2 linked regions of the Stegostoma tigrinum genome follow. The protein of the gene in region 1 interacts with the protein of each later gene in a pairwise test. Links are inferred from orthologs where the notes say so. Each region holds a gene or a part of one and is shown on either strand. Other genes may lie near its edges.

Evidence for each region.
Region 2: the proteins of rad54b (region 1) and RIB43A-like with coiled-coils protein 2 interact in a two-hybrid assay, tested with the Homo sapiens proteins (2 studies listed by BioGRID and IntAct). The two-hybrid records come from large-scale screens. The link is inferred for Stegostoma tigrinum from reciprocal best matches to the Homo sapiens genes RAD54B and RIBC2.

What each region holds. Positions count from the first base shown.
Region 1 is NC_081358.1:91,296,236-91,300,161, forward strand, and holds the start of rad54b (DNA repair and recombination protein RAD54B), read right to left. Parts: upstream 2,921-3,926; 5' UTR 2,612-2,920; coding exon 2,492-2,611; intron 1-2,491. UniProt on the Homo sapiens protein: Involved in DNA repair and mitotic recombination. May play an active role in recombination processes in concert with other members of the RAD52 epistasis group.
Region 2 is NC_081371.1:20,081,781-20,085,706, forward strand, and holds the start of RIB43A-like with coiled-coils protein 2, read right to left. Parts: upstream 2,187-3,926; 5' UTR 2,004-2,186; coding exon 1,887-2,003; intron 1,081-1,886; coding exon 999-1,080; intron 1-998. Other genes in the region: structural maintenance of chromosomes protein 1B-like, read left to right, coding at 2,381-2,489, 3,022-3,036. UniProt on the Homo sapiens protein: Microtubule inner protein (MIP) part of the dynein-decorated doublet microtubules (DMTs) in cilia axoneme, which is required for motile cilia beating.

The sequences.
Region 1 (3,926 bases):
GGAAATCTGCAGTGAGTAACATCTCCTGACTCCTGACATTCTTTCTATCCACGGACTCTATTTACACGACTTACTGTCACAGAAAGGCAACCAACATAATGAAAGACCTATCACGACCTGGTAATGACCTCTTACAACCTCTTTCGTCAAGCAGAAGGTACAGAAGCCTGAACAAATGCACAAGCAGGTTCAGGAACTGCTTCTTTCCGGCCATTATCAGACTGTTGAATGGACTCTTGCCACAAATAATGTAATCTGCAACATAACCGGTATGCCTCAAAGTCTTTTAGATCTGTACATCCTTTGTTTGCTGTGATCTATTTGCACTGCTCATAAACAAAGCTTTTCACTGTATCTCGGTAAACATGACAAGAAAAATCAACATTCCTCCAGTGTTGCTGGGTAAAAATTCTAGAACTCAATCCCTAACATCATTGTGGTTGTACCTACCCGAAATAGACTACAGCGAATCAAGAAGGCAGCTCACTACATGGGTAATAAATGCGGGCCTAACCTGCAACACCAACATCTCATGAAAGAATGAAAAAAAAAGTGGTCCACCTCATGTAGGTACACCATAGCACTTTCAAAGAAATACTAAGCATTTTGACCCATTAATGAATGGAAATTGTGATCCAAGTCAGCACTGCGTGAACTCAGAGAAAAACTTCTAAGCGGTGTTGTTCCCATGTATCTAATGCTCAATGGAAAAGGTTGCCAATTTAGAAAATGGTGTTACAGGAGCCTAGATTAATTTTGGTAGAGCTTCTTGTACGTAGTACACACTGCTGCCACCATGAGCCAGTGTAGAGGGAGCAAATGATTAAAGTGATGGCTGAGGTGCTGATTGGGCAAGCTGCTATATCCCGAATGTTGTTAATCTTTGATCTTCCCTGGATCTGCACTCATCCAGGTAAGTGAAGACTATTCTGACGTACTCCTGACTTGTGTATTGTAGATGGTGGTTATGTTTTGGAGAGTAAGGAGTCATTCATCACAACATTTCCAGCATCTGACCTGCTCTTGCAGCCACTGTACTTATATGTTAAGGCTTCTGCTTCGTGATTACCTCTGTGCTGATGATGGTGACAAATTTAACTATGAGAATGTCATTAAAATCTTCAAGGAAGATTGTCTCACTTGCCGGAGGTAAATCATTTGCGACTTCTGTGGCAAAAATTACCATTCTGTTTACCATTTTATCAGCCCAAGCCTAAAAACTTCTATGTTTGTGGTGTATATGGACACGGAGTGCTTCAGCACCTGTCTCAGTGGTGCTGAACATCAGTCAGCGAACAATTGACTTTCAAACTGATGTTGGAGTACGATAGCCAATCGACGTGTGGGCTTGAATGAAAAACTGAAAGAAACACTCTATATCTGCATAGGGAGTCACTTGGCCTGGGGCAAGTCCAAGGTCAAATAGATCATTTAACAGCAATAAGAGGCCTCCGCTGAAACTTTCTTAAATTTGTGATGAATTGAAATTTGTGACCTTTTCAGCTCAAGATTTGAATGGAAAGTTATTGATAACACAGGTGAGAAGTTGGTCGACCTAGGACACAACTTTGAGAAACTGCTGCAGCAATATCCTGGGACTGAGGTGATTTCTAACAACCACAATCTGTGTTGGTATATCTTAAACTAGTGGATTTTCGTCAAATTCAGTTTAGCTGAAGCACCTTGATGCTATTCTGAGTCAAATGATACCTTGATAAGGGTACTCACTTCTCCTAACAGCCAGTTTCAACTTTAGAGACAAGGCAGATCTTGAATGTCTCCTACTTATCATTGGGAGTGAGGCATTTAAGAAAGTTTGTAGTGGAGAAAATAAGCCTGAAATTAACTTTACATTCAAGAATGATCATTAAAGAGTAAGCAGTTTGGCAGTATTGCCTGACCCAACAACGTGCTCCTGGTAGGTCCTGTAATGAATGGCTGCATCAGTTATCGGCAACAAAGAGTCATGTTTACATCCCTTGAAGTTAAGGCAGCAAACTTGAAGACCATGATGGGGTTCGGGGAGGAAGCTCCAGAAACAAGGCTTAAGTCTGTCATCACCAAAAACAAAGCCTACTGAATACTAATTGAATATATATATATATATTTTTTTAAGAAAACAACTTTGGTTACCTTCTCTTCCTAACTTGGAAAACAAATGTGGTGTCTCTGCACCCACAACGAAAACTGGATAAATTATTCTTTCCAGGGAGCTACACATATAGCAGGACGACAGAAAGCAGCACGGTGATATCTTGGGGGTCTTCATAAACTCACAATTATTCTTTCGATTTTATAAGATACACAGTAAACTGCCTGTGGTGCTCCCCGGTCAGAATGACGGAAATTAAATTTATACAGACAGTTACATATAGGCAATTTACATACACATCAGGAACAGTCTCAGTAATAAGGCATTGTGACAGGTGATCGACAAACTCAAAATGCGATACCTGGCACATTTTATTTTTAAACTTAATTTAGATTGTACCTCACTCGTTGCCGGGAGACTGGCGGTTGCCGAACCAGGCCCCCCGCTCCTGGGAGGGATAAACTTGAACTTTTTAGCTGCGTTGCCACTGAGCTGACTCGGAGCTGAAGACCTCCGCATTTCAGTCGCCTGTTACTCCGGCCTTCAGGAGAGAAGTATCTAGCCGTATGGACATGATCTAACCCCGCAGTTACAGGTAGGGCCGATCTCCCGGTGGATGATAATAAAATATCACCTCTCGATCACTTCATGTTTCCCGCTTCCGAGGGTGCAGCCGTGCAACGCAATGCGCATGTGCTGCGCTCGCGCTTCGCCCGCGCGAAATTTGCTTTTACATTAAAATACTTTCTCAAATCCACCAAGGCATTGCATACTAATGCTCCGAAATATCATGCTTTGCACTGTTTACCATTACCTCTGCTCCCTGGGATCTGCCTTTGCAATTCTAAGCATGTCGGGAAAGGAGATGGTGTGTTTCATTCCCAGTCACTTGCACCAAGATAACAAATAACTGCTGCTGCTGGAGATCGACCAACTTAGTTCACCAACCCTGGAACACAATAACGACTGAGTGTTGTGAACAGGCACATACCACCCAGAATTTCATGTGTAAATTTGGGGCAGTCATTCCAAATTCTCACTGGGGACACGCTGTGGTTTAAGGACTGGCCACTGTGCCATAGAATAATAAGAAATACAAGTAGCAATACTCCGTTTTGGCCATCGTGTACGCTCCACAATTCAGTACAAATATGGCTGATCTCATCATGGCCAAAACTCCACTTTCCCTTGTCAGCACCCTCATCCATAATATTTGATTCCCTTGTGGATCAAGCTCTAATTGGAACATGTTCAAAGATGCAGTTTCCACTACTCTCTATCAAAGGGACTCCAAATATTAATGATCGTCTGAGAGAAGAAATTTTTACGTGTTTCCATCTTCCATCTTGGGTGGTACAATAGCTCAGTGGTTAGCACTGTTGCCTCGCAATGCCAGGAACATGGGTTCAATCCCAACTTTGGGCGACTGTGTGGAGTTTGCGCATTCTCCCCGTGACTGCTTGGGTTTCCACTGGGTGCATCGGTTGCCTCTGACAATCCAAAGATGTGCAGCCTAGGTGGATTGGCTATGGTAAATGCAGGGTTCTGGAGTAGAGTAGTGGGGTGGATGAACTTCAGATGGTTGGTGCAGGTTTGATCAGCTGAAAGGTCTCAATCTGTACTGTAGCAATTCTATGATTCTATTCTATGAGGTAACAAGCAGGTTGGATAAAGGGGAACCAGTGGATGTAATATATTTGGATTTTCAAAAGGTATTTGATAAAGTACTACATGTTAGGCTACTTTGTAAGAACCAAATGTGTTGGGGGTAGTATCACAGAATTGTTACAGATCTGGCCAATCATGCCTCTACCAGCTCTTCAATTGAGCATCA
Region 2 (3,926 bases), on another chromosome or scaffold:
CTAAGTCTACCATTCTGCTTGATCAATTCTTTGGTTACTTCCTCAAAAAACTCATCCAATTTTGTGAGGCATGATTTCCCTCAAAAAAAACAATGCTGACCATCCCTAATCATTCCTTGCCTCACCAAATACATACAAATCCTATTCTTCAGAATCACCTCCAACAACTTACCCACCTCTGAAGTCAGACTGAAAGCTCTACCCCAGACTTACATTATACAGGGGGAGGTGATGGCCTAGTGGTATTATGGCTGTACAGTTAATCCAGAGACCGAAATAATGTTCTGGAGACCAGATTCGAATCCCACCATGGCAGATGGTGGAATTTGAAATCAATAAATATCTGGAATTAGGACTGCAATGAATATTATAAAGCCATTGCTGACTGTCAGGAAAAACCCAACTGGTTCACTAGTGTCTATTAGGGAAGGAAACGGCCATCCTTACCTGGTCTGGCCTACGTGTGACTCCAGACCCACAGCAATATGGTTGACGCTTAACTGCCCTCTGTGCAAATACAGATGGGCAATAAATGCTGTCTGGCCAGTGACACCTTCATTTCCATGAATGAATAAAAAGAACACAAAGGCACGACATTAGCCACTGTCCAGTCATCCAGCACCCCACCTGTAGTTATTAATGATACAAATATTACTGCAAGGGGCCCTGCAATTTCCTCTCTAACCTCCCGCAATATCCTGAGATACACTAAATTCCAGAGATTTCTCCACCTTTACATTTTCTGATGCCTCTAGCACATCCTTTTCTGTAATTTGAACTGTTTTCAAAACAGCAATATTATTTCCCTGCATTCTGTAGCCTCCATTTCTTTCTCCACAGTAAAATGTGATGCAAAATATTCATTTAATGTCTCTCCCATCATCAAACACTTGCAAGTATTTGAACAGACAGTTGACAGCATTTTTTGTGTCCTAATATGCAAGTTTATGCATTACCTTAAATTATGTTCCCATTTATCAGAATTCAAAATAACTTACCATAGGCTAAATGTTTTCTAGCCTCTGTCTCTTCCTGAATTTTCTTATCTTTGATTTGGCCATCCAATGCCTGTTGATCAATCTACTAAAACAAAACTGATCAGTATACATTTTAAAAATACTTAAGTTCTTTCAGTCTACTTCTCTATTTCTGTGGATCATGCTCACTATGAAAACAGGAATAATGTTCATTGTAAAAGTAATACTTCATTATGTATAAACCAATTTCCATTTTTGATATTAGCTCCTGGAATTTTTTCTCTTACAGCACTATTGGTGAATATGGGCTACAGCTGCTCACTTTCTCAAGGCAGTTAGGGATGTCAAATAAATATGGTCTTAAGAACAATGCTCATGATCCAATAAAATAAATAGTATTTACCAGTAATAAATGCTTAAAAAAAGCCAAATCAGAGGCAAAAGAGAAAGGTTTTGCTATGTGGTTTCTTTTAATATGAATTATTAATCTTTATGCAAATATTTCTTTATAATTCTTTACTTTTAAAACCTGATGAAAAGTTGATTGATTTTATATTCCATCAAACGCCTTCTCTACCTTCCAAATGCTTGCGTACAAAAGTAAGTCAGGTTTAGTAGTTGCATAGATGACATTATTCTTACACGTCAGTAAGTTAGGAATAGTTGTACTTCAATATGTGGACAATGTTCCAAGCAGTTTGAGAAATGAAGGCACCTTTTATTTTAATTTCCAATACTACTTCGCGAATGACTAGATAAATAGTACACGTTTTGTTTAAACTGCATACCACTATTTCCAAGTTTATTGATGCGTCATCTTATTTCCTGATATTATAAAATTCTAATCACACATGAGTATAAACTCCGGACTAAAATCCGCAGTAAAATTATACTAAATGGCGCATTTACCCCAATTGTTCTGAGTCTGGCATTAAAAATCCTGTTCTGCCTCTGCAATTCCAAGTTTCTTCGTCTCGCTATAATCTCAGCCTCTTTCAAATCAAACGGGCCACCCAGTTTCTGCATTTTCCAGTTTTGTTCTTCTCATAACCTGAAAGCTAAGTATATATGAAATTAAAAAAGACCTTGAAGAGCAAATAAACCAGTGACAAATTATTGTCTTCAACAGTACGAGTCAAGCAAAGTTCCTTCCGTTAAGTATTTTCCGGCCCCACAAAAGAGATAAACAGAACAGTTGCTAGGCGATCGGGCAACGGTTACGGGATTTCTGGAGAGTATCGCGAGATCTCTGTTTGGCGGCAATCTGGTGTCATAGGTGTTGTGTATTCTGCGGCGGTTGAAGAAGTTGTGTTAAGGACAATTTTTGGCGTCTTTCGACGGGAACGGAGAGGCCATCACTATAGAGGCCGACACAACTACCTCTTAAACATTAGACTTTAGGAATGGGAACTTTACAATTAATTGAAGTTGAAAATTTCAAGTCGTGGCGGGGCCGACAATTGATCGGGCCCTTCATGCGGTTTAACTGCATCATCGGACCAAATGGATCAGGTCAGAAACACTATCCTTCACATTCTCAGGGAAGGCCTTCCACAAAACTCGCTCCTTACCGATAAAGCTTTCGTCGCCCGCCCACCTCTCAGAGTGACTCATCTGTATTGACGTTTGGTATTTGAAATCACACACACAAGCAAAACTAGGAGAACTAGTCAGTTTCCTCATTGGGCATCATTTGCCCATGAAATGTATTGGGGAACAAATGGGGCTAAAGGCAGACCAGTTCCCTGGACCTGATGGGTTGCATCTTGGAATTTTAAGGAAGGTAACTGTAAGGCATAAAAGAATCCATAGATTCTGGATAAATCCCAAGGCAATTGGAAAAATGCTAGTGTAATACCCATGTTCAAAAAGGAGACAAAATGGGTAACAATAGGCTGGTTGGCTGAACATCTGTCCTTGGGAAAATATTAGTGGTTAATGTAAAAGAAGTAATGGTTGAGCATTTAGAAACATAATAGAGCAGAGTCAGCATGGTTTTATGAAGATGAAATTATATCTGATAAATTTACTGTAGTTCTTTGAGAAGGTAACAAGCAAGGTAGATACAGGTGAACCAGTTGATGTAATATATTTTGATTTCCAAAAAGCATTTGATAAGGTGCTGCACATAAAGCTACTTAGTAAGACAGGAGCCCATTACTGTTGTGGGTATAAGATGGATAAATACTATATCATAGGGCTGCTTTCTCAGAGAGAGTAATGATTGGTGGTAGTTTAACCTAGAGTAATCATAACTCTAGTAAGGGGAAAATTGAGAAGGAGAGTTATTCCAAGTGACCTGAGGGAATTGAATCCACACTGTTGGCATTGCTCTGCATCACAAACCAGCTGACCAGCTAAATGAGATGGCTGATTATGGGTAGAGCAAAGCTAACTAACAAAAGATAGAGTGTTGGGATAAATGAGCTATTTTCAGGTTGGCGACCTAACTAGTGAGTCCTACAGAGATCAGTGCTTGGGCCACAACTATTTACAATGCATATTAATGATTTGTTTGATAGAAATGAATGTACTCCTGGCAGGTTTGCGGATGGAGCAAAACTATATTGGAAGGCAAGTAATGAGGATAACACAGGAATCTGGGCAGCACAGTGGCTGAGTGGTCACCACTAATGCCTCACACTGCCAGGTACCCGGGTTGGATGCCTCCCTTTGGCAACTGTCTGTATGGAGTATGCGCATTCTACCCGTGCCTGCATGCATTTTCTCCAGGTGTTCCAGTTTCCTCCCATAGTCCAAAGATGTGCAGGGTAGGTGGGTTGGCCATGCTAAATTTTTCAGTGTTCAGGGATGTATAGATTAAGTGGGTTGTAGGGGGATGGGTCTGGGTGGGATGCTCTGAGGGTCAATGTACTGTAAGAATTCTATGATCTTCTGTGATCTACAGAGGGATATTGACAAGTTATGTGAGTGGGCATAAACTTGGCA